3 linked regions of the Oryzias latipes genome follow. The protein of the gene in region 1 interacts with the protein of each later gene in a pairwise test. Links are inferred from orthologs where the notes say so. Each region holds a gene or a part of one and is shown on either strand. Other genes may lie near its edges. The genes, in order: rassf5, mylip and rassf2.

Region 1 (4,099 bases):
CCTTAAGGTCCCTTTTGTTTTTTAGGTTGTGTTGGGAGTTACACATTTCAAAATTACTCTAGACAGTGTGGTCTTCTCTGTTCAGGGGAATCCCATGTGTTGTTTGGTAAATGATCTACATAGTACCCATGTATGAGCTAATTCATGCATGAGAAGAATCAAACCTGACTCAAGTGGATTTCAGCCTTTTTTCCCCATCTGGTATGAAAATAAAATCAAGTCAATGTGAATCAAATTGGAAAATATAGATACAATCAGAGACATACAGAAAACACTTTTGTCCTTTTAATTTCAAAAAATAATAAACTGATGTTCTGAACAAGATAAATATGTAAAAAGTAAACTTGTTCTCATAGAAAGTATTGAAAGTGGAAATCTTTGTAGTGTGCAGGTGGTGTGGGCGTCCTGGTGGACTTTTTCAGCTGCTTGTGGTTTTGTCGCTGCTCATATGACGCGCTCTTCGCGAAGTGGAAAGTTTGATATTTTCTGACTGAAACAAGTGGGATTTGTTTCAGATGTTTTTACGCCTCTGTTGGGCGTTTCAGCTTAAAAAATAAACTGAATTTAACTTTTTAAACCAAACATCTAAAGAATCGATCTAATCATATTTTGAGCTTTTTTAAAAGTGTTCCCAGTGATCTTTTAATTATGATTATTACTTAGTCAAAAAAATTTTATTCATTCATTCATCTTCTAAATCCATGTTGTCCCTTTCGGGGGTCATGGGGCTGCCAGAGCCTATCCAGGCCACTCATAGGCAAAGGCAGTGGACACCCTGGACATAGTTTCTGCAGAGTGGCAGTAACTCATGAGAAATTTACGTCTGAGTTGTGGGCCCAACCATTGGTGCGAAGCAACCCCGCCCCCCTTCCCCTCCCCTTACTGAGAGATCGGAGCAGGGAGCTTGTGGCCCATCCAGTATATTTCCAACGTCACAAATATTATAGACTCACAAATTTAATGAACACTTTTTAATGGTATTATTTCGTCTGCTCCTGATCCACAACTATTTGAATAAAAAAATACTCAGAAATGCTTAATTTCCTTCATATATGTCCTCTATCATCAGAAAAAAGGCACAAGAGCGTGTTAAAAAAACACTTTTCTTTAGACTATGTTTTCTAATAGCAAATACATTTTTTAAGCTTAAACGAAGCAGAAATAATCCACCAAATACAATTTCTTTTCATTTATTTGTTACTTTTTTGGACAACCTCAAATCAGCAGATTAAAGCGCGCTCCCGTTTCTCTGAAGGAGCGCGCTCGTGACATTTAAAGCTGTTGATCTGTTACGTCACGCCTGCACGTTTATCCCCGCGCGGGTTGAGTTTACAGTCAGGGCACGAGCCGCTCACACGCCCGTCAGAGAGCGGCGGTGGGATAATGGCGTCCGTGAGTTTGGTGGGGCAGCAGCCGGGTCCGCACAGCAGGCTGGATTCGGAACCGCAAATTCTGTATCTGAAGCTTTCCAGCAGCAAAACCAAAAGCGGCTTCCCGAGAAAATCTTCCTGGGACAAGATGGTGTTCATGAGCGGCGGCGACACCCAGGAGGAGCCCCGGAATCAGCATCCCCTGTCGCGCGGACCCGGCGGCGGAGGAGCGGCGGCTGAAGGACGAAGGATGTCCCGCGAGAGGTGCGGGGCTCCGGCTGTCAGTGAGGCGCCACGTAGCCCGGAGCAAAGCGGGGAGCGGGGCAGCGACGGGGTCACCGCCGGGACGCGACTCCCCACCGACGCTGGCAGCGACGTGAAGAAGGGCGCCTCACACCGCAGGACGGACTCGCTGAAGGAGACCAAGCACAAACGGTCTCACCGGCAGCGGGACTCGCCGCACCAGAGGCGGAACTGTCGGAGCGGAGACTCCGGTCAGGAGTTCCGCGGTCTCACGCGGGGCCGGACGGGGGTCGTGAAGCTGGCCCGCACCGAGCCGCACCGCAGGGAGGCCTGGTCCATCTTTCCGCGGGAGATGGACCCGCGGGTGAGGACGGAGAGGGGCGAGGGGCACCGGTTCGAGAGCAAGCCCGTGAAGCAGGACTGGTGTGATGCCTGCAGCCATCAGATCACAGCTCAAGCCCTCAAGTGTCAAAGTAAGGATGAGTCCTGAAAACTCAGCTGACTTTTAGCTTCATTTTTCATCTCACTGTGTGTAACTGGGATTCAGTGGGTTGCTTTTAACGCGCGCAGCTTTATGAAAGACAACATTCCCAATCATCAGATTCCCAAAATCCCCTCATGGAGGCCTGATTATCTCCTGCTTCCAGCTCTGCCTCCAAAATTCCCACTTGGATATGGATGCAAGCTTAAGCTGTTTGGCCTACTTAAGCAATATGAGCAGAGGAAATTCAACAGTAGTAATTCCACTGTAGTGGTTTAAAAGGGCAAACTGTCATGTTTTGTTGGTCATTTCTTCTGTAAACACTGATGTTTACTGCCAACTTTAAAGTCCACCGTTGGTCAGAAAACCCCCCTCCTCTCAGTAGAGCTCTATAGACGGATATTTTGAATTCCTCTTAACCTCCCCAAGACAGAAAGTTTGCTCAGATCTAATCTGACCTGCTCTTGTTTGCACAAACACACAGAAAGACTGATTCTTTCCTTCAGCGGAGCCTGAAGAAGCGGTGTGAACCTCTCTGCTGCACACACACACCCACCCACACACACACACACAGGCTTTGTGTGGAGGAGAAGGTGCGTCCACCAGCCCCTGCATGCATGCGGCTGCTGAGCTGGCATTGTGTCAGCAGCGGCGCTGTCATGGGGAGGCTGCAGGGCAGGGGGAGATAAGGCAAATGAAAGGACAGAGCCACTGAGAGGCAATGAGCAGACAAATGGGTTGAAGAGAAGAGCAAAGCAAAGGACGACAAGTGTTTAGAATGAGAAGAAGCCCTAAGATCGGGCTGCAGGGAGAAAGCCTGGTCTGATTTATCGGCTAGAGCTCACTGAGGCGTGAGCAGAGATTACTGGAACACACACGTCCAAAGAGACTCGTGTTCTTTCTTTGCTGCACTGGAACTTTAATACTTTCTGTCCTCCGAAGCCCTTTCTGTCTTTGATCAAAGTGATTAGCTGCACCGTCGCTGTCTGAAGGAGAAAACATCCACCTTCTCGTCAGGAAGTGGACGTGAGTGTGGAGTCACAAGCTCTGCCAGGCACTGAGAGCTTCTTCTGTGTGGGAAATGGAGAACGCACCAGTGGAAAACCAAAACACACACAGCATTTATTCTCTTTTCCTTCGTCTTTGGGGTAAACCCAGTAAATGACAGGGAGAGAAGAACTGAGGTCTTCCAGCTATAAACAAATCTATCCTTTTGTTTTGCTGCTTTGTTCCTTTTATCTTCCTTTACTTTTTGTCACATTTTCTCATTAAGCCTGGTTGTTGTGAGGAGTCTTGAACATCTCCTGGGACGGTTGAGGTCTTTCCTCTTCAGAGGAATCCATCGTGTCTGACCTCAACTCAAAGTCGTGTCATCTGGGGCTCGGTTTTGACCCAATCTGTTGCTCCATTCGTTCCCTTTGATCTTCCTTTTTCCTCATTTTCCACAGTAAAGATTGTCAACTATGTGAGATATTTTCCCTTTTTTTTAACCCATTATATTCAGTAAATCAGTGACTTTTTAACATTCATTTTTTGTTCATTTTAATCAGAATAAGATCATGGTTTACAGCTGAAAGGAGACGGAAGAATAGCAGTCACCTTAATCCCAGCCCGGCGTGTCTCTGGCTCAGGATTATATCCCAGGAGTAGCGATTAAAAACAGACGGACAGAGTCAGATGTCAGATTAATGTTTAATTAAATGCCTGCAGAAGTTCATGCTGTTGTGGCTCGATTGCTCTGATTTAATGGATTTAGTGGCTTCATCTCTTTCAAAGCCTAAATAACAAAACGGGTCCTTTAGCACAGTTCCAGTTTTAACACTTAATACTTGGTTGTGTTTAATACTTGTCATTTTAATCTCTGTTGAGCTGCGTTTAAGGTTTGGATTCAGCATCTGAGCCCCAGATAAAGACTTTATGAGGGTTAAGGCAGTCATTTGTGTGACTGAAAGGATTTGTAATCCTGTAATCAGACAGCTTCATGAACTCTAATTGAACAGATGTT
Region 2 (11,603 bases), on another chromosome or scaffold:
TTTAGTCAGCTGCTTTTTTCTGATAGACATTTGTGGCATCAAATCTTATCCGAACATTTCTCCTCAAATAAAAACACAGGAATGTTTATTTTTCCTCAAAAGGTCTCTTCTTTAGACTATTCCATCCGACACACCGCCCTCAGCAACGCAAGTTCAATTGAAAGTTAGTCCAAAACGCGCGTTTTGGGCTTCTGCGTTCAAAACTCTCGTGCTTACGCGTAGCTATGCACGTTTTTGCCGCCATTTATGGGCTCTATGTACAAGATGTGAGTCCATTAAACAATCGCGGACCCTGAATTGTAGAGACGTATGGATGGTGTCGTTTTTACGTCATGGAAGTGCCAACTGTTCGAAAACTGATCATGGAGGAAAAGAAATTGCGGTTGGTTCCCAGCTGCAATTATACGACAAGGTCTTTCACACATCGGAATAGAGCTGTGACAGGAAAAGCAAACATTTTAAGACAGAGGAAAACAAGAAGAAGCCCCTCCCTGCTTGTCCAGTGTGAACACCATATGCGAAACGCATGTTCCAGAATGCCTGTTCAGTACGTTCTTGAATGTGCGTCAAATTGCCAGGGTGTACGTAGCTTCAGCTCAAACCCCCCCCCTCAGCCTGTGCCGAGCTGTACAGTGGGCGTGTTACCTGTTGATGGTGGCGACACTGGGCTCCTCTCCACACAGCTCAGAATACCAGTACTGGGCGGTGTTTTGGTTGTAGTCCCCGAACTCTGCCTGAGCCAGCAGGGCACTCAGCTCCTCTGCTTGTTCGGAGCCCATTCGTAGGTGACCATTGTGGAGGTCCTCCTTCACGTGCAGGAAGAAGAGGTGTCTGGAGGGAGAAATTAAGATGAATTATGGATTTTTTTTATGCATTTATTAAACAGTCAAGGCTACAACTTAACATTTAAGACAGTGTGTGAAAAAACCTTCACTACATTTGTTTGACTAGGTTGTAACCACTTCCCCAAATCACAAAAAGCCTAACTGAAGCAGAAATGATGACACAGGTTTTCTCAAAACCTAAAAAAAAACCCTGAAATTGAAAGCTTTTCTTGATACAAACACGGATACTGTATGTGAAAACAGTTGTAGGGGGCGGGGCCACAGTTATTGTTTGGGCTGACTCATAGGAGCACCACGTTCTGGTTTGGTAGGGAAAACAGACGCTACAGCAGGTCTTTTCATTGTTTTTGCTACATGATGTAAAGAATTCTTTCCTTCACCTCAGCAGGAGACCATGAGGGGAAACATCGCAGCTAACAGGAGCGCTGAACACAGATCCTCCCTTCAGATTGACCTTTGCCACAGTAAACAGTAAGAAGATTATGAACTAGTCACCTGCTCTTAAAACAGTTGCACATTCACCTCTATGCAACAGTTTGACCCACTTTAAGTCCTCTCAGAACTCAACAAATCAGACCGGTTTCCTTTTTTACCCATTAAAACAATTCAATTTTACATTTTTATTGGAGTAAATTAGATCCTACAGTAACTTGAGGTTGTTTGGAAAGTTTAAGATGCAAGTAAAACAACATTCTTCCCCAGTAATGTCTACAAAATAATACAACTGAAGGCGGTTGGAAAGAAGGAGATTGTTGTTTTCCGTGATCCTGCAGTACAAACAAGACTACACCTTGTGACAAGCGCCGTGTTTCAGCCGCTGCGAATGCAACAGCAGACACGCCTTTGCAAAAACGTTCAGCTGCGAGGGGCGCACAAAGCCAAGTCTACGCCGCCACCTGTGCAGAAGCCGGAGCGATGCGAGGACCAGAGCATGAGCGGCCTCGGGCATAACAAACACGCTTTGATTTGGTGTTAAACATCCCATTCCCTCCAAACGCACACAAACACTGCACTCCATTGTGTCAGGCCCAGCAGGCGTCATGTGATGGAGCACTGCTAGTTAGCTACCTGCCTGATGCAAACAATGGAGCTGACGTTACAGAGAGTTTACTACAGGTCGTTGGCACAGGGTTACTATAGGGCGAGGCGCAGGTTACTCTCGGTTACACAGGTGTTTCCGTGAGGTTACCGTCAGTCACAACACCTACATGTAGACGAAAGAAGGGTTTCCTTTAAAAAGAAGTCACAATTTAGTGAACTGAAGCCAACAGTTCCTTTACATTAAACGGTGAATTCAAGGGATTTTAGAGGCCCAGAGAGCAGAAACGGTTGTTGTCACCGCGGGCCGCTTCTGCCAGACAGCTCTGAGAGGAACCAAAGGCCGAACACCAATGGCTTCATGTGGATGAAAATACACTTCTTAAAAAAGGTCAACTTGCATCATCAACTTCCTCTGGGTAAAAGAAAAAAAAGATCTGCCGCTTTGCAGAAACCATCTCCTAGAAAATGACAAGTTTTTTGATTTTGATAAAAACGGCACAAAACATAATTAAAAGACCACTAAGAAAACTTTTGTAATACATCAAAAAACGATTGGAGAGGGACTTACGTCAGTAAGAGCTTGAACTAGCAAGAAGCTTGCTATTCAAAATAATAATAAAAAATTAAAATTTACAAAAAAGGCCAGGAGTCTGCTGAAAAACGTATTCATTTATTGACAGACCTATAAGATAAAGTTTAAAATTTAAATAAAGTTTAAGAAAAAATTATAAAGTCAGAAGAAAAAAAAAGAGTTTTTAAACAAGACATGACTTGGAAGAGTTTACACGAAACAACAGGGTTTTTTTAATACAGCGTGTACTGTACAGTTTAATCTGCAGGCCATTATTGCAACACCTTGCAATCCTTTGAATGTCAGGAAGTTTATTGAGACTGAAGTCTCCTGTCCTACTTCTACTGTATTACAGTTTAGGCCACACGTCTTTGTCCACAAGATACAGACCGCCTGCTAATATAAGCAAATAAACAGACTCAAAGCTTCGTGGCACAGTACCAAAGAGGAAAAATTATACTCATACAAGTAAGACTTCTCAAAACAAACAAGTCAAAAGCCTGGGTTCTTGTTTATGTTTGCTCGGACGAAGCATTAAAACCTACTAAAAGAAAAACCGGCTGTTTCAGGAGCTGCACTCAAACTGAAACCTAACCCTGCTGCCTGGATACCGAGCCGCTTTCAGCCAATCAGCAGCAGAGTTTTACATCGCAACAATGCGGCTTGTAAGCTAGTCAAATACCACAGCCAGAAGCCATGTGTTACGAGGTTACTCCCAGTCAATGACCTGTAGTTAACTCTGCACGCCAACTTCTCCACAGTTTGAGGCGGAATAAAACAGAAGATGTGCAGTTTGAGACAAAGCTGCAGTTCACGGATTTTATACATCTATGCCTTCAAACTCAAAAGGAGCTTTGCAGTGATCCAACAAACAGGCCGTCTGTGCGAGACATTCTTTGGGTTTTCACAGAACAGTAAACTGCAATTACAGCAGATGTTCTAAGAGATTAACAGGAAAAGTGGAGCAAAGAATAAAAAAAAAAAACAATAGTTATGGTGCTTGATGTGAAAGATGGCAGGATGTGCCACCATCTCCAAAAACACATGAGCCAAAATAAATCCTCTTGAACAGTTTTTGTAGAACAGTAGTTTAAGAGAATGCTTTCCTTTCCAAGTGTTCTCACTGATAAAAAGTAAAAATACTCTTTTGTGGAACAACAGTTGTGCAAATTGCCCATAATCTTGACTCTTACCTGGATCTGATCGACATCTTATGCAAACTCACGTCCCTGCATACAATTTTCCCCTCAGTTAGTTGCGTTGGGTTTAGACACAATGCCCCATGGGAAAAAAAAGCATTTACCATAAGTACCGTTTCAAAAACCCAAAGAAGGCGATTCATTTAAAATATACATGCTTTACCAAAAAACAAACCTTCATAAATCACGTTTTTCCTTAAATTCTTAAATTCTTAAATTTGTCAACAAAAATAATTGAGTTTAGGGTTAAGATTCCTGCTAACCTGCTCTTTCAGGGCATCAAACGTTTACCTAATCAGAATGCTGAACACATTTGCTGAAGGGAGGAACCTGAACAGCCCCAAGCAAGCAGGGTTTAATGATCAATGACAGCACCAACACGACCAATAGTGTTATTCCAGTACTTAAGCACAGACCAAATGGTCCAAAGGAAAAAATAAATAAAAACCCAAGATGAACTACTTTGCAAATCGGCCAGGAATCTCCTGAAGAAGCCTGATCAAAATATTCAGAAACACACAAAAAAAGGCGGGTCAAAAATGAAGTATAAAGATGCTTGATAAGAACGTGAATAATTTAAGGCTGTGCATGGAAAAAAAAAAACAAAAAAAACAATCTGATTAAAATTAGTAAAAAAAACAAAAAGACAAAGATCTGTGGAAAAGCAAAAGGACAGATGCCACCAATAAAAGGCTAAGCCAAAGTCTAATGAAAATAATATGCAATTATTGACCTCTGAATATACAAAATATAAAGATTTTGTGATTAATTCGTTCTCAAACAAAACAAATCCTCGCAATCCCAACCTCATTAAGGTTAGGTTGTTAGGTTTAAACATAGTAACTAAAATAAAAAAATTGTTTTAGACATTGAAACTTCCTAATCTATAGGAAATCTACAGAAACTGTGTGTGTGCGTGCACATGAACACTTAAGTGACCAGTAAAAGCTTTATGTGGCAGCAGAGCACACAACATCCTTATATAATCCACCATGAGGTCAGCAGGTTACATAAGCGGGCTGCAGAGCGGCCTATACAGACAGGTGCCAACCGCCCAGCGCATCTACAGCGAGCGCGAGTCGTCTACAACCTGCAGGAAATGCCCTTCACGTCACGACCAACACCTGATTCTTTTCTCCACATGAAATGTGCAGCAGAGGAGCATAATGAGGAGTGTCTGCTTGAAGTATATTAAGCAGAAAACTATTTTTTAATTAGTTTGTTTAAAGCCAAGTCAAAGCTATTAAAAAGTTTCAGGAAAAAGTTCTTAAAAGAATTGCACCACAATCTGCACAAATAGGGATTTAATATGCAAATTAAGTAACAAAGTTCCCTAAAAGATCAATTTATAGTTTAAAAATGGAACAAAAAGTTTTTTTTTAAAGTAAAATGTAAGTGTTACAGCATGTTTGTGTGTGCTGCAGCCATGCATACCGTTCCCTGTCACTTCACTTTATCTCTAGCCTGACCCTACCACCCTCCACTCACCCGACGCCAGCTATCTGCTGATAACCCCAGCTAATCGAGTGGCGGTCGGAGCAGAGGCAGCCAACTGTCCCCGTGCCCTCTCCCCCAATTCCCCCCCCCCCCCCCCATCACATTTGTCTCCGGAGAGGATGCCAAACATGGACAACAGCAAATGATCTGATGTACCAAAATAATGAGTGAATTCAACATAAGTAGATTAAAAATAAATAAATAAAATAAAAAAGAGGGAATAAGTCGAGTGAAGTTGTCGGTTTCCCGGCGACATGCCCCCCCCTTATAAAAACAATGCACAATTAACTTTTCTAGGACCCAGTCCAGTTGGCTCAAATCATGAAGAAGAAAAGAAAGTAGTGGATGAGTTTTTTCCTGCTGGGGCTAAGCATATTTCTGACAAAAAAAAAAAAAAAAAACTAACAAAGGGTCCACCAATGGCACAGTTTCAGCTGTGACTCAATGACCCACATGAGAGAAAACAAAAGCGGTGGGGGAAAAAATAAAAAAAAAGGCACTGCTGGCCCGTTTCCAGAGAACATCTACAAACGTGTCAAAGTGTTAAAGTGCTTGTTTAGAGAAATAAAACAACAAAAAAAGCTACAAACAAGGTTCACTCATAGAAGCAGAGACATGGGGGGGGGGGTTCTGTTTCGTCAGAATGGGTCTCTGGGGAAGCGTGAGGAGCTGCTGGGATCACATTTCCAGCCAAAATGACCTACAGTAACCCCGGAAGAGCTCCGGAGAGAGGTTACTACAGGGCATTTCCACTGCACGGCCTGCAGGGTGTTTGAGCAATGCCTTTGTTTTGAGTCAGCCAGAGCGCTCTCCTCTTTGTCAGTCATAGGGAGCCACGAGGAGAAGAAGAAAAAAAGAAGAGGGTTGAGGGTTCAAACACTGAGCTGGTACCTGGTCTGTTCCTGCAGAATGAGATGGGGCTCCACAAAGAACTTGACCCGCAGCCTCAGCCGGCAGGGTGTCACATTATCCATCTGCTGGCAGATGCGATTCCTCAGATTCAGCCACAGATTCTCTCCTTTGCTGCCCGTGAACTGCAGCCCAAAGTAGTCCGCTTCAATGATGCCCAACTTCCTGCAAACCTACAAGCAAGAGAAGAAAAAAAAAACACAACGCCGTCTGTTTCACTGCTTCAATACAAAAATAAAGTAATTTAATTAGTCAGAAAGTGAAGCAGGTTACAGCTTGTTCCTCAAAAGCACAATTATAGATATTTTTATATATAAATAAAACCAATAGATTTTCAGAGCTACAGGGAGGTGATTTTAAAGCTCTTTGTCTTTTTGCGCCAATAATAACCAGAACTAAAAGTTTAGAAAAGTTTCATGTGCGCCTCCTGAAGAATGAACTTTAGTAACCCCGGACACTCAGCGCCTCTCACTTAGTGACTAAGCTCTGCACAAAAGTGACCGCCGGCAATTTTCCCCAGCACCGCAACCAAAAAAGCGCTCCAGACATGAGAAGAGTTAACAGTTTTTAGCTGGGAATTCATGCATTTATGTGTGAAAACATGTCAAAGCTTTTGTTTTGGGGGCTAACACGCGGATCTATTTACAGGAAGTTCAGCGCCAGAAAATAAGCAAACGTGGAAAACCTTTGTTGATTTTGAACCACAATGTTGCGTTTAAAAAAAAAACAACATAGTAATTTGTGATGTAATATTTGAAGCTCAACTTTACCTTATTCAGACAGTCTTCCCCGTTTGCCTTCGCATCGACTTGCACTTCCATCACCACCGAGTCCGGACGAGTCACGTGGCAAAGCATTTTTGGTCGCTGTCCGTGGATCTTTGGTGTGCCACGCGCTGAAACAAACAACTTTCGTGTCCTCTCCAAAACCGTCACGTCCACATCAAGCTTTCTTCACGTTCAGACGCTTTCACTACGCGAGCCGAATCTGCGCTCCCCAGCTGGACCCTATCTCAATGAAACCCGCGAAGAGCACCGCCCACTAAACACTGACCAATCAGAGGCATCTTAAGCATTCTCTCTGAGATCTTTTAACCAATCAGGAAAGCTGATCAATTCTTAACTCCTGAGGGCGCCCCCGTGTGGCCAAGCTTATGCTTATAGTTCGGGGCTTTTCACTGACCTGAACTGAATAAATTAGACATTTCTCCAACTCCAGAAGACCTCGCGGTGAGTTTAATGAGTCGTGCTGTTCGCCTTTCTGTTCACAACATGTAAATATTCCATGAGACTACTGTCTAAATATAGATTTTCATGAGAGGGAGAGTTTTCCGGTTTGCTTGCTCTTTGATGCTCACATGCATTTTTCATAGTGGCTTATTTTTTCCATCCAATTTTACCTTTTCTTTTCTTTTCTTTTCTTTTTTAAACATGTCTATGAAGACTCTCATTCGTCCAGGTTGGTTCCATTGTAGTAGGTTTAGGGGTTGTCATCTGGACTTGGTTTTTAAAGTTAGAAGACGTTTCACCTCTTATCCAAGAGGCTTTGTAAATGTTCTTTTTTAAATAGAACAAAATTCAAATAGATGTAAAAGATGATCATTTCACTGTCAGCTTTTAGACTCCACAACACCTCATACACACTTCACTGTCATTTATATTGTAGCCCAACTAATGTTGTTACTTATAGATTTTGGTGTTATTTATAATCAGTATTATTATTATTTGTTGTATTTGAAGTTATTGTGACAAATCTATCTATCTATCTATCTATCTATCTATCTATCTATCTATCCATCTATCTATCTATCTATCTATCTATCTATCTATCTATCTATCTATCTATCTATCTATCTATCTATCTATCTATCTATCTATCTATCTATCTATCTATCTATCTATCTATCTATCTATCTATCTATCTATCTATCTATCTATCTATCTATCTATCTATCTATCTATCTATCTATCTACCATGCAAGGATTCTTGCATGGTAGGGCAGGGCGGGAACCAAACCGGCAACCTTTTGATCAGAGGGGAACTTCTCTACCTCTGCACCATGACCTCCCAGTGCTTTAATATGATTAGGGTTGAAAAATAAACATTAGCTAACCACTGATTAATGTGATAAATAATATATTTAGTAACGGAAAGTCATGCATAAAAGTGGCACTTACCACTTTATTTAATATTTAAGTAATGTTTACTGATGCATTAACTAACATTAATTGTAACGTTGTTCAACTTGTGTCTTTTATGCTGTTTTTCTATGTGATGTCTGTTGTTAATATTTTAAATCCTTTTTTTTTTGTTAGTATTTTTTGGGGTTTTTAGTGTTTTTATTAGTTAATTTATATGTGCTTGTAATGTTTTTTTTAATGCTTTTTTATCTAGTGTGACAGCCATCCAAATTCCCTCTGGATCAATAAAGTATTTACCTAGTATTCATTTTATTATTCACCTAACTATCTCTGTACTTATATCCATCTTACATGTTGTTCTTCAACTAGATGTTGTAGAAAATGCCATTGTGGTAAAAAAAAAACAGTTAACTTATTTTAGGTTTAAGTTGCAGTTGCTGTTAAAACTGTCAGCTGTTTCAGTGACTCATTTGCATAACTATTACCCCACCTCTGGCTGTATTCACGTTGATGCCATCCTTTTAGAGAGACTGAATATTTCATCCTCAGATGCTCTGCCTCATCACGCCCTCAGCATCTACTATTTTCATGATTTATTATTCACAGCTTTGTGATGGAAGGAGCCCAGGCCAGAAGAAAAAGCTGCAGTCTTATTCTTCAACCATGGTTGCAAAGCGCTCAGCCAAGCTCGTGATGTGTCTGCCAGCGGGACATATTAGAGTCAAGACAGAGTGCTTTTCTTCATTTCTGCCTTCTTTATGTTGCATCAGTGACACTAATGAAACCTGAGGCGATTCAAAACGACTCAATGAGAATTTAAAAAATGTCCACTTTTTGAGTTAAATTGTTTTTAATAAATGCGGAAACATCTGAACACATTTGTGTTTGTTTAACTGATCAAAGATAATCTGATCATATTGAAAAAAGGTTTAAAAAAATGCTGAAGAAGAATCTGGAAAAAGCTGGTCGTAATGCAAACTTTGGTTAATAATCAGTCTCTCCAATCCAACCAGCAGCAGAAAACCCAGCATGGCCTAGTTCTCACAAACAAAGTAAACAGAGTATGGAATGTGTGTTCTCAACTGGTTTAACCCTTGTGCTATATGCACTTTAACATTGGGAGTTGGGTCATCTAGACCCACTAGACAGTGCTCTGAACCTTTTTTCTTCAATGATTTGTGATCTTCACTGGTGTCCATGGATTACATGAAATCTTTCCGCCTTTATCCACCTCTGTCATGGTAGGGAGAACACGTCAATGGAAGGGTGGGGTCATCTAAGATAGCACAAGGGTTAAATAGTACGAGTTGTTTTCAGTGTAAAAGGGGAAAAATACGTCACTTTAAGTTAAGCCACGATAGCTTCACTTGTAGAAAATATATAAAAACAACACAAACAGAGCAGATGTTTTGCCATTTTTTAGTGAGACATCAAGGCAACCTTGGTACTCATTGCAATTATTTTGAAAGTTGTAAAAAAGAAAAACTCATTTCTGATCATCCCTTTTGCCAAAACAGTCATATAAACAACATTTGCCTCAACACAGTTTCATGGTGCAATTCAGAATAAAGTACCTTGCAGAGTTTTGCAAAATTTAAATTAAAAAATTTAAATTATTCATTCATTCATTCATTCATCTTCTTCCGTTTTGTCTCTTTCGGAATCACTGAGTTGCTGGAGCCTATCCCAGCCACTTGTGTGCGAAGGCGGGGGGCACCCTGGACAGGTCGCCAGTCTGTCGCAGGGTAATAAATGAAAAATTGAAATTACATTTTTTATTTCATCGTGTGACTTTTAGTCACCTAAGATGAAGACTTGAGTGAGTCAGCGTGGGGGGAATCTTGCTAGGATCCCTTTTAAAAAGGGATACCAGTTTTACCAGTAATTATATCTCTTATTGTTTGTGAGAAGCTCAGCCTACATGAAGTCATTGCCAATTAAACTTTACCCTGAGGTGATATAATTATACAATGACTGTATGTCGCAGGAAAATGTCTGAGCTAGCTATTATCAGAAATGTAACATAGATAGTGAGACTGTGGCAGATAAGATAAAGTGTAGAGGTGGGATTGTATGCGTAGAGATGACACAGCCTAGCACTTTACCACAATCTGTTTTTTTTAAAAAGCAGACTGAATTGATGAAATAACAACTTCTAGAACAAGTTCTAAAAAAAAATCACAATTGTGTTCAGCAGTCTGGCTTTAGTCTGAGTTAAGATCTTGTCTAGATGAAAACAATGAGTGGAGCCCCTAAGCATTTCCATCTCTCACAGTTTTTACAGGGACTATTTAAAGGATTAGTGCCATCTAGTGGTGTAAGCCATTAGTTGCAGTCAAATAAATGTGTACCACAAGGAGAGTCTCAGTTGAACTAATAGAGGATTGCAGTAGAGTGAGCTGCATGACGGTGCAGTGGTTAGTGCTCTCACCTTAGACAGGAAAGGCCCTGGTTTACAGTTTTCCCCGTTGGTTTGGCTCATTTCCTGAAACTGAAATGACAATCTCAAAGCTAAAAAGTCATTTCTGCATATACACTTCTGCACAACAGTTCAGCTGACTGGAAATAGCAAAAATTCTTTCCCAAAACTCATCAGGCACACTTCAGAAGCAGATTATTTTCTCAGATGAAGAGTCAATGGCATCAAAATGGCATAGATCCCTCTAAGTTACTTTGGCTCATTCTCATCCACTTAGTTCTTTTCTCAAAGTAACTTGGATGCTTCAGCACAACACCATGGATCACCTGCGGACGCTGATGTCTCTCCCAAAACAGTTTATCCACGGATCAAAACCAAGTTTATTTCTCACACAAACAGTCAAAAAGCATCATCCCTTTGGTAGTTTTTTGAGCACTGCAGGTCAGAATGCTTAGATTTTTTGTCACTATTGAAGAGCTCGAGCTAACAGGTTACATTTTTATATAAAAGTAAAAGACAAACAAAAGAATTTCACAGTAAGAGCAGCTTCTGAATTTGGACTTCACGCACATGTACACAGCATACACTTCTCTGTACAAGTCCAGCGTAAAAACACGACCAAAAGAAAAATCCAGTAGGCTGAGAGAGCTGTAAGTGACAGATTACAGTAAACTTCACTGGTCTCTGTGGGTGTCCTCCCTCTCGTGGACATCGTCTTCATGCTCTTGGCCATCCACACGCTCCTCTGATATTTTCCCTTGCTATGCAGCGAGTGAGGAAACGACGTGAACGTTTTAACCTTCCCTTGCATTGACCCCATGTGATGTTCTCACATGCAACATCCATCACTTGCAGCAGGGACCTCTTACTCCCCCACCACGCATCCTCACTCCTCCAGCTGCTCCTCTTCTTCTACTTCCTCCAGCTGCTTCTCTTCCCCTTCTTCCGGCAGGAAGCTGACCTTGCTCATTTTGTTGGTGA
Region 3 (11,430 bases), on another chromosome or scaffold:
AGCTGCTTCCAACAGCTAACAAAGAAAACAGTTTAAAAAGGATGAAGAATATGGAACTCCTCTGGTGTTTTACCAAAGCAAGATGCTGAAATCTCTCATTTTACTTCTGCTGTTATGTCATTTTTGGTTTTTGTTGCTACTGAAAAAAATGTACTTTTTTTTTTTTTTTTTTTTTTTTTTTTTTACATGTTTTATAAGTAACATGCTAAATGCTTTCACGGAGAAGGATTTTATTTTGTATGTTCCATTGTGGGAAAGTGCTGAATCTAATTAGTTAGTTTTACATGTTTACATTTAACCTGATGAGGTGGTTTCTACTGTTTATGTCTATCGTTTCTTGCTTTTATTCCATTCCATATGTAATGTATTATATTTATAAGCAAGATGGAGACACTTTAAGACGTAAAACCTGAAAACTAGGTGGTGGTTTTTTTTTTGAAGCTTTGTTTCTGTAAACGCCGTTTGCACGAGAAACGATGCCAAAATCAGAGGTCCGAGAGTCCGATTTACGCACCTGAAAACTTAGAACTGAAATCTTCTTATAAACATATCTACTATTCAATAATCAGACAGTTTAACATTAACATTAATTGTAAGCCCAGAGTTCATGCACTGAAGATTTTGACGCTCTCCTCCACTGAAGAGTTTTTGGTGATGAAGTAGATTTGGGAAAAGTCGCAGCATCTTCTTTGGTTTTTTTTTCAATACCATTGCATCGGTCCATCATCATGCAGCCTATAATGAACTCTCCTTTGATACCATCCTCCCTGTCCTGCTATGAAAATGTACTGATGTCCTGTCATGTGCAGTCTACCTGGTTTTTCTCTCCAGGAGTTCCACCTGTTCATATTTCTGGATACAGGAGGGGACGCTTGCTGAAAGCCTGTTCATTGGCAGCCTTTTTTCATTTCAGATGAACGTCGGTTGTCTTTGTGCCTGAAAAGTATTTTTATCTTTAACAAATTTGTTACACAAGTGGTCCATTTAGAATAAAAAAGTTATATTTCTGGCTTCTTAAGAAAGTGACCAGAGGGATTTAAAAACAAAGATATTCATCCCTTTCAGTTATTTTGAAGGGGGTGCTACCTGAAGATTATACTTGTTTTTTTTTCTTGTTTTTTCTTTTAAAATGTTTTTTATACATCGTTTTGTTTTGCAAGCAAATATTTGTATGGAAAAAAAAATCCCAACTTTTAACCTTAATTCATCATGGAAAGCGCACTGTCTTGTACTTTTAATCTAAAAAGTAAATGCATTTGGATCCTATTTTGAATTGGTGATTTATTTTTCTTTTAAGGCATTTAATTTTTTTATGTCTATACAATAAATTGCCAGTTTAAATCAAAGATCAAGCAAAGTGGCTTTAAATGGTTAACACGCAAAATATATTTAATGTTTGCAAAAAATTCTGTCAGAGTTGTGTAAACTAATTGTAGCATCAAAATGTTTTATTCTTGTTCCTAAAACTTTAATATGATGTTACAGAATGAATTCAGTCTTGTGTCCTTTTTTTTTAAAGCGTACTTGTTAGTATTTTTTTTGTTTTTTTTTAACCCTTGTGCTATCCTAGGTACTTTAACATTGGGAGTTGGGTCATCTAGACCCACTAGACAGTGCGCTGAACCTTTTTTCTTCAATGATTTTTGATCTTCACTGGTGTCCATGGATTACATGAAATCGTTCCACCTTTGTCATGGTAGGGAGAAGACGTCAATGTAAAGGTGGGGTCATCTAAAATAGCACAAGGGTTAAATCTTATGTGGGTGAAAAAACGCAGTACAACAAATGGCCAGTAGGGGGAAACGTGCTAATCTACACGTTTAAAACGTCTAAAACGTGGAAATCTACCACCCTGTGGAGATTCTCTTTAATCACCTTTACCTGCTTCTTTTAGAGGTTGCCACAGAAAATCTCCATCCTATCCCAAATTCTACATTCTCCTCCTTCACAATAACCTGTCCTGCATAACATCCATGAACTTCCTCTTTGGTTTTCTTCCAGGCATCTTTTTCTTTGTAGTTCCATCCTCTGTATCATTTTACCAACATCAGCACTGTTCTTCCTCTCTATGTATCTAAACCATCTCGGTCTGCTTCCCTGCATTTGTCCTCAAACATTTACCATGAACTGTTTCTCTGATGGATTCATTCATGGTCCTATCCATCCTGGTCATGGCCAAGGAGAACCTCTGCATCTTCATCTCTGCCTCCTGTCTCTTTTTCGGAGCCTCATGGGGGCCCAAATCCAGGCCTGGAGGCCCGGCCTCCTGCTGGTTTTCCAGAAACCCTGCCTTATCTGCTGTTGATTACCTGGATCAGGTGTGTTTAGCCAATAATTAGCTTCAATGGAAGGATGGTTGAAAAACATGTAGGTCACCGGCCCTCTAGGCCTGGATTCTGGCAGTCCTGCATGGCTGCTCTCCCCACATTCTTCTACACGTCCTTTCATTCTTACTCACACGTTGCACCTAAATCCGTCGTCCACCTCTCATTTGCTCACATAGATGCTGTCTTGCTGCAGCACATGTTCATTCTCATTTTCAGAGCAAACTTCCACCCCTATAAAGGTTCCTCCACCCGCTCCCTGCTCTCCCAGTGTCGTCTGAGAACATCATTGTCCACAGAGATGCCTGTCTAGCCTCATCTGTCAGTCTGTTCGTCACCACAGCAAACAAGGAGCTCAAAGCTGATCCTTGGTACAGTCCCACCTCTGCCTTCAACTCCTCGAACACATCTACAGAACATTTCTATCTGATCTCCCAATGCTTATTTAAACTCCTCCCTAAAAACCACTTCCAGCACTTGCTCCTCCCATGGTCCTCTTCTTCTGTCTCACCACCACAGTCATCCTCACACCACCATCTTCTTTCCATCATGTCACCAACTCTCTGTTTGCCCTGTCAGAGTTTCTACATTCAGAGTTTCTCCTACAGTCCTGCATTTCCTTTTTTGTTTACAAAAACATCTTCCTCCTCTCCTTCCTCAACTAACAGAAGTTTAGTTTCTTCCTGGACAGGACAATTCCAATCTGTCTGTCTTCAAACCTGCTAAATCCCTTCCATTGGGTGAAGGTGGGGTACACCCTGAATAGGTCTCCAGTCTGTTGTAGGGCCACAATTATTAGGATTTAAATAATTTCATCTCTATTTTACACCATTAATGTTTATATGTTGATCACACAGACATAAATGTTACACTTTGAGTTCTATTTGAAATTCCTTTTTATTTATCAAACTTCAACCTAAGACGTTTTTAATGTGATGCGATAGCTGTGGCCCTTCGGGTCACTGCCGTTGCAGGTCTCTTCGCGGGCAGTGTTTGGGGCGACGGATTACAAAGTAACGAAATACTGTTCCAATTTCAGTAAATAAATTGCAATTATTTGTTTATTTTGCCATTTAATTTATTTACCATTTTCTCTGTTAATTAGACGAAACAGAGAAGGCTGGCTCGTGCGCGAACGACACGAGCCAACTCCTTCCTGGGAGCCGTTCTACATACTCTCACCACTGAGCAGAAGAGGGAGGAGCTTTAGTTCGCTACACAGATTCACAGGAACCATGCACCTGCATGAGGAAGAGACTGATGCAACAAGAAGTTGTTTCACTTTGAATTTATTTAAAAGGAAAAAAAGCTTCATCATAAAAAGAAAAAAGTTGAAATTTAAATAGTTGTTTTTAATATTTCATAATTATTTTTTCCATAAATAGAAACACATTTTTACATTAGTCATTCAGTTTGTGCATAATTGTTTCCTATTGTTGTTGATAATGAAGGAATTTAAGGAATAAAATGACCCGAAGAGCCACTTAAGAACCGAAAGAGCCGGTTCTAGCCCCGCCCCTCCAGTCAGAATGACTTTATCTTTTTCCCCACATCTCACTTTGAGCAGTGAACTTTCTTTTGTGTCATTTTTCACACTGTTGACTGAATTATAATAAACCCAGGTTTTGTCTTGAACCACGTTTATTGCACGAGGCCATTGCTTTAAAAATAAAGTTAAATGAGAGATGAAAGGATCTAGTTTGTGCTGTTTTTCCCTTGAGAATTTGTATGAACAAAAAGTAATGTAAAGTAACGAGTGAATTACTTTTCAAATGGGTAAATGTGTCTCTGCCGTGGGTCTTTCCGCCTCCGTTAACAAAAAAATAGAAAAAGCCTTAAAGCAAATCTAAACTACTGTATCAGTGCTTAGCCAGTTTTACTATACTCGAGTAATTTGGTGTGGTTGGGTCCAATAACTTAAATGCTATTGACCAAAAAAAAAAAAAACTCGATAATTTGTTGACAGTCCCCAGAGGCGGTCCAAACCATCCACCCTGAATCTGTATAGGCTAGTTGTTCAACAGGTTACCAAAATGTCTAGTTTATATGACCTTTCAGCCCCTTTGTAGTTTTACTTTAAGTCTTCTTTACTTTTTACCTTAACTTTTCAAATTATTTGGATTATCACATTTCTAAAGAGCATATAAACGCGTGAGAGATGATTTTTGCAGTTTACAGACATTTGTAGTCATTAAAAGCATGGTAACTGTTATTGTAAAGTAATATATTACGTCTAAACAATAGTAACAAGTCCGTCATTGGGATTCCAGTGACTTGCACGCCGATTAAGAGTTTGCGCATGCTCGCTTCTCCCATTGTTGTCATGTTTTCATTCAGCAACGCACGCGGAGCGAACAAAAGACGCGCCGGTCTCGCCTTCCGATTGGCTCGCGGCCGAACCCCCGCGAGGTCGACCACAGCAGATGGAGCTCGCGCTCCCCTCCTCTCGTTTTTTTTAGTTTAAAATCCCACTTTTACAAGCTCGTCTGCACGCGCCCGTCTGAGTGTTTCAGACGGCGGACGCGGAAAGCTGACAGTTAACGGAAGGTTTTCCATCAAAGGAAGACGAAGAAGCACATCAGAGGCGCCGCAGCTCAACCGAAAGAGGACCTCCGAAAGTCGGTAGGAATAAGATTCAGAGTCGGCGCGGGGTTGCTAAGTCCCACAGTCAGTAATATTACAAGTGCGGGGAAATGTATGTTCGAGTCACGCATTTTTCTTTACAGAAACTCCCAACAAAAATCCGCAATCTTTCATGTTGTAATTTACATGCAGAGCCGCGCTTGATTTCACAGCCAGCAGCCAAAATAAAAGAAGGGGAAACAGCTTTTTCTAAGCATTCACGACCAGCGGCCGTTATATAATAGGCGAAATTCATCACTGCTGTGACAGCTACAGGGAGGCAGGAGGCTTTTAAAAAAACATTCACTGCCCGGTCTCTACAGCTTAATGAAATACCTAAGAGTTTGATTCATGGTTTTGTCAAAAAGGTTACAGAAGTGTTACAGAAAGCTGCAGCCTGTATCCTTTAAAACACAACTAAAGGGAACAAGTAAAGCTGAGATTTCCATTGTTGGACAATCCTTTGTCATACAAACGAGAGAAGAGTTCAGTTAAATGTCTGGTTGGACATCTGAGCCATCTTTATTTCTTTGTTTTTTGGATAGAAGTTGTGCTGCTAGGAAGCAAGGATACTGAGAAGAGGCTGGGTGTGCTGTTTTCTGGAGCACAGTTGTTTTCTGGCGTTGCTATGACAATGGTGACAATAGTGAGGCAGAGCAGGAGTTATGTGGAGGCTGAAAGGCAATGGGAGGTGGTGTCGGTGGTGCTAAGAAAGGACAGGCAAAAGATTTGGAGCTCCTCATTCACCACATCTGCCAGGAGGAGCATTGATGGAGAGGAGGAGACAACAAGGGAGCATGTGTGCAGAGAAATGCTGAGGAGGCAGCACAGGGAGTCTTGAATTTTAATAGCACGCTGTGCACCAGATTTCTTTAAATTCCCCCTCCAATCATCTTTTGATCTATTTTCAATGCATTCCCAGAGGTATGTCATTATGATTTATGCGATTTTTAGCCTAAATTTAAAAAATCTGTCTCGTTTTCTAGGACCTAGTTTCTGCAGAGCGGCAGGGGTTCATCCAAAATTCATCGGAGACTTTTGACACGCAGTGAGCCTGCCCTCATTTTCCATCATCCTTTTGTTTGCACTGTCTCTAGCTAGCTTACAGCTCCTCATATCCTCAACCTAACATTACCGGTGCAGCAAACGTGGCGAGCAATATCAGAGCTATCCAGCCGTACAGTTTAGATCCATCTCAGACAAGGATCTGTTTGTCTGCAGGTGAATCAGAAAGAAGTGAAGCAGAGAGCTTGTGACACACCAACTGTACAAGCCTTTTTCCGACTGCATTTTTTCAATTTGAATAAAGAAATACTCAGACATGCAGATTTCATCTTGTTGTTCTTTATTTTATGTCCTCCATTATGAGGAAAAAATGCCTCAAAAACGTGTTTAAAACTCCAAAAGACACAATATTCATTGGAGTGGGTCTTTAATGTGATTCCAAACAACAATGCAGTGAAGGCGTCTGAGACATTCGAGGACTGGAGCGTCTGAGGTCGTAACGAGACTCATGGGAATTTTTGGCAGTCAATGAGGTCTACATTTGGACTGCCTGCCAGCACAGAGATCCAAAACAACTGGAGCAACACATGCAGATGTTGGCTCAGTTACTCGCTACTTTATGCAGAGGATTTAAACCAGGCCAATCGCAAATCGTCATCACAACATCAACCGGTGCAATACGCGTTTTACAATAACAGTAAATGTTCACTACATCAATGTTAGGGCAGCTTTTTATTATTTAGCAGTCTAATTTGAGCCTTTTACGCATTTGACCAATCGGATGGACCCTTTTATGTTAAAAGCCTGCCTCCATAGGCAGAAGTCAGTTTAAGTTATTTATTTAAAAAAATTGTAGTGCAATGGAAAGGAGGCATTATTCACTTCACTATTTGTTCATATCGACAGTCATAGGGATCACAAATATGGCACATTGTGAGTTTTCTTTATGTCGTGTTGCCCTAATTCATTCTTAAAGTTGCCTAAAACAATATTCTTTTGGTAAATGTTATTCCGATGTCTATTCCTCTCTGTAAGTCTAAATATACAGCCAATTTCAACGTTTTTCTCAATTCAATAATTTTTAATAACCGTAGCTGCAATTTGGTGCTAGCATTGGTAAAAATGATAAAACAATCCGGAAAGCTAAGCTTAAATGTTGTCTTGGCAATCAAAAAACAAAAAAGAATAATAGAAACCAGGAAATATATGAACACTTGAGGTTTTTTTTTTTTTTTTTAACTTTCTGTCTAGTTCAGGGGTGGGCATTGCAAACTACAACCTGTTAAATTATTTAATCTGGCCCACCAAACTGGAATAAATGATAATGACAATCCTTATTAAAGTTTTATTTTACGTTTAATTCTGATGTCTTCCCATTGATGCTGCTCTACACATAAATTGCCCGTCAGTAAGTTATTCTGCATTCATGAGCCGTCTGAAGATTTGTTGTTTTTCTGATGGTCACGTGTCATTTTGTGTTTTTCCCTGAAGGACACAAACCTATCAGTGCAATTGGCTGTGAACAAAAGCCAAAGTTTTGAAAAAAAAACTCCTAAATGTTGTGTTTTAAAATATGTATAGTTTTTCCCCATATGTTACCAAAGCACTCTGCATCTGCTTGTGGTCCGGCCCATCTGTCAAATTTTAGAACCCTTTATGGCCCACGAGGTAAAACGTTGGCCCACCTCCGGTCTAGTTGATGTGAAGTTGACGTCATTCCTGTGACTTGACACCACATCTGAGCGTTGTTCAGGTTCAGCAGCTGGCCACATGTCAGTTTCAGAGCACCGGCTTCAGCTGTTGGAAAGTCTTCAAGCACAGCCGCCTTCAGACGATGATATTAAAGGCTAATGGCCGCCATTGTGTGGGTCAATGGAGAGCTGTCGGGTGAACGCCAGACTTAATATGAGTGCTGAATTATTGATGAGCTTGGCATGGCTGGTGGTTGTTTTATTCGGACGCATTCATATCAGAGATTGACAGCCGTCGTTTTGAACAAACACGCTTAGCCGTGTGTCTGCTGGCCGTCACATGTTCAGTAGTTAGAACACAGGAAATCTTCTCTGCTGTTTGAATTGAGGAAGCTCCGGCCCGTGGATTTGGTGATGTTAGTTTCCTGTGTGACTGACTGAGCTAAGGAGGAAGCTGTTTGACGGAAGGGGAGCACTCACTTCCTTTAAACACCCTTTGCTATTTAGGTTTCTTTTTTTTGCTACAATTTGTTTGCTGTCACGCTCCAAAGACCCACTTTCTGGCTCTTTGACACAGATACATGATAAGGTACCACCAGGGATTGACAGAAAGTCGACCTGCTTAATCATTTATTGCGCCTTCACGCTGACGGCGCCATCTCTCAGGAGACTCCACAGGAATCGACAGTCATCACGGTACGATCACTTTGCTCGTAGAATATTATATTTAGTCTGGGTTTTAAAAACCATTCATTTCACATTGAAGCAAATGTCTGGAGCCGAAACGACCACATGTGCATTTCTAGTATTTTTTGGCGTAAAGGCTGTAGTTCCTGTCAGTAAAAATGCATTTGTTTCTGTCATGTCAGTGTTGAATGCATAGTGATGAATGTTCAAGCAGCTGAAATAATTCCAACCTGGGGGTGGCCCATATGTCCCACACCTGTCCATCTCTTTCTGAAGACGCTCTTCCTGCCAAACCCCCACCACAGTGATGGCTGAGAGCCATTTTTGGCAGCTGTATGGATGAAAATGCAGCGTTCATTTCTAAAGATTTGGCAACAGCCAGTTTTCTTTGCTGTGTGCAGAGAGGCCCACTTTTCGAAATCTTGAAAGAAAAAGTTTGACAGGAAAGAAGATAGGATCTGTTGTTTCTGTCTACAGTCCGGAGGTGGACCTCCTCCTCCTCTTCTTCCTGCAGTCTGTTCCTCCTCTTCAGCCCAGCTTCTTTGTGATTTTCGTTGCTTGTCATGAGGAGTCATGGGACCAAGTCAGACGGACGAGCTTTAACTCTGTGGGCTTTTTGTTTGCCAGCTCCCCCCATGCTGACGGAGAATGGATGAGACGGAGAACGAGGTTCAGATCGGAGAGAACAAGTTTGTCAGCAAGTAAGCGAAGTCTTCCTGCCATTTCACACCTAAACATGCACAGTTCACCATTGTGCTATCCTAGGCACTTTAACATTGGGAGTTGGGTCATCTAGACCCACTAGACTGTGCTCTGAACCTTTTTTCTTCAATGATTTGTGATCTTCACTGGTGTCCATGGATTACATGAAATCTTTCCACCTTTATCCACCTTAGTCATGGTAGGAAGAACACGTCAATGTAAGGGTGGGGTCATCTAAGACAGCACAAGGGTTACACGTGTGTCAGCAGCCACGTTATCCGCCGTCCTGCATGTGTTTAAACTGTTGGTTTGTGAAATAGAACGGTAGTCTCACAGACTCTCTCAGAAGTCGCTGTTCCTCATTTCTGAGGCAAACGAACAGCCTTCAGTTTGCTGAGTCACAATAAGACGTTTTACGTTCATCATGAACTTCATTAACCGTTTAAGAAAGAAGTCAAATGATTAGAATATTTTGTTTTGAAGGCCCTTTGCACTTAGACTCTATTTTTAAAATAATGCTTATTCGTTTTATTCAAGCAAAAGTCATTTCAGCGAGTGCTTCAATTTATTGGTGCATTAAGAGGCTTTAAATATTTTCCTTTATCATTACATTTAAAGTCAGTAAATCAATATTTCAGACTAGTTTGCCTCCAGACCTTTGCTTTCCCTGCTGGTTGTTATATTTTTTATCCCACGGTAAGGATTGAATGCATGTTACAATAATTATATTGAAGCATGGTCATGCCTGATACTAAATATGGTCAACAATAATAACCAAGATATAACTAATCTAATGTACGATAAAAGCAAGCATTATCGTCTTATATGTTTTGCTGCTTGTTTATGTACTGCAGAATTCAAAAATTTGCTTTAAATGACCGCAAACAAAGATTCAAATTAAGTTTTTAGATTAAAAAAGTGCTTTTACAGTTTATTGTTTGTATTAGTTCTTCTTCTAAACTGTTTAAAAAATGTATTTACTCTCACAATAATCTTCTCTGTATTTGTAGTCAGAGTAATATGTTTTATTTTGCAATAAAACCATTTTTTATCACAAAGAAAAGTTTTGTTTCCACAATTGACATTTTTGTAATAATGCTGTTTGAATTGGCGGTTATAGGTAATTGCCAGTAATGTTCATAATTCAATAATTACTGGTTTTGTGTTCATTATTACTGAATGTTAAACACAGAATTGATTAATAAACTGTACAAGCCAAAAGCATCACCACCCCGTTTTGTCTTAAAGTGGGCGGGTTCACAACAGGATAAGCTATTATGATTGGCTAAAGCAGTGTCATGTTTCATGGTAGCCAATCAGAGCCAATGTTGTTTTGATGCATAGTTTGCGTTTTTCTTGGTGGAGATATTAGAACCACATCCAGACTTTTATCTCAAGTTGTGAGAGTTTGAAGTTTTTAATAAGCTACAGTTTCTGCAAGAATATTTTATGATTCAACTGATTACCGCTGGAGAAAATAACAACTGTTGTTAACCCAAACAGCTTTCTGAGATTTTATATTTGAGTTATTTAATTTAACAACAGAGTTAAAGGCACTTTATGTCATTTGAATATTTATTTTTGTTGCAAACCAAACACTTTGTTGTCCAGGTTTTTTCATTTTTTAGTTGTCAGAGGTGGATTTATTTTGTAATAGAGTTAAACACGTTTTAGAATCGCTGCTGTGTACTTATACTTTAAGTATACTTCAATGTACTCATACTTTAAACCTTTAGCTGTCTGTTGATATGCAATACATATTGATACTTTTATTTATTTCTATTGACTTAAAAACTAATCAGAAAAATGATCATTTTGACATAAAGCAACTTTATTTAACAAATAGTTACTTTACCCGATGACTTGTTACTTTTATTCTATACTTGTATTACTTCTGGATTAAGTATCTGATCACGTTCCCAGCACTGACAGATTGGAATGAATAGATGTAGATGTAGTCAAAACGAAGAGCTGTTGCTCTAAAGATTAGGTTCAAAGGTGTTGTTTTCCAGCAGACTGTACATTAATTACACTAGAGAGGTCAAATGATGGCTGCTAAAGTTTCAAATGTTTGAACACCTCAGCTTTGCAGTTCTTTTTCCAGTTGGAGCACCGTTTCATTCTGCATTGTTTGTCTGACAGTGCTCTACGATGACATGTTAGCTTCTGCAGAGGCTTGGTTTACCCTTATCTCCACCACGTCGTGTAAAACGGTTAGAATGGCTGTGTTTACGCAGCTACAGCTAAAATTAGCGGCGTGCTCTTCAGTCAACAGCATTTCCTCCTGAGTGATTCATCTCCTGTGTTTTTTAGGGCAACGGTGCTCTCTCATCTTAAAACATACAACCTGTATTACGATGGGCAGAATCTACAGTTACGGCACAGAGAGGTGAGGACTG

Evidence for each region.
Region 2: the proteins of rassf5 (region 1) and mylip interact in binary tests that used the Homo sapiens proteins (3 or more experiments, as listed by UniProt). The two-hybrid records come from large-scale screens. The link is inferred for Oryzias latipes from reciprocal best matches to the Homo sapiens genes RASSF5 and MYLIP.
Region 3: the proteins of rassf5 (region 1) and rassf2 interact in binary tests that used the Homo sapiens proteins (3 or more experiments, as listed by UniProt). The link is inferred for Oryzias latipes from reciprocal best matches to the Homo sapiens genes RASSF5 and RASSF2.

Annotation. Positions count from the first base shown.
Region 1 is NC_019863.2:28,043,826-28,047,924, reverse strand, and holds the start of rassf5 (ras association domain-containing protein 5), read left to right. Parts: upstream 1-1,299; 5' UTR 1,300-1,383; coding exon 1,384-2,086; intron 2,087-4,099. UniProt on the Homo sapiens protein: Potential tumor suppressor. Seems to be involved in lymphocyte adhesion by linking RAP1A activation upon T-cell receptor or chemokine stimulation to integrin activation.
Region 2 is NC_019869.2:23,667,146-23,678,748, forward strand, and holds the start of mylip (E3 ubiquitin-protein ligase MYLIP), read right to left. Parts: upstream 7,094-11,603; 5' UTR 6,920-7,093; coding exon 6,833-6,919; intron 6,236-6,832; coding exon 6,045-6,235; intron 832-6,044; coding exon 646-831; intron 1-645. UniProt on the Homo sapiens protein: E3 ubiquitin-protein ligase that mediates ubiquitination and subsequent proteasomal degradation of myosin regulatory light chain (MRLC), LDLR, VLDLR and LRP8. Activity depends on E2 enzymes of the UBE2D family.
Region 3 is NC_019867.2:6,443,042-6,454,471, reverse strand, and holds the start of rassf2 (ras association domain-containing protein 2), read left to right. Parts: upstream 1-4,662; 5' UTR 4,663-4,946; intron 4,947-7,211; exon of another isoform or gene 7,212-8,219; 5' UTR 8,220-8,338; intron 8,339-8,956; 5' UTR 8,957-8,977; coding exon 8,978-9,030; intron 9,031-11,344; coding exon 11,345-11,420; intron 11,421-11,430. UniProt on the Homo sapiens protein: Potential tumor suppressor. Acts as a KRAS-specific effector protein. May promote apoptosis and cell cycle arrest. Stabilizes STK3/MST2 by protecting it from proteasomal degradation.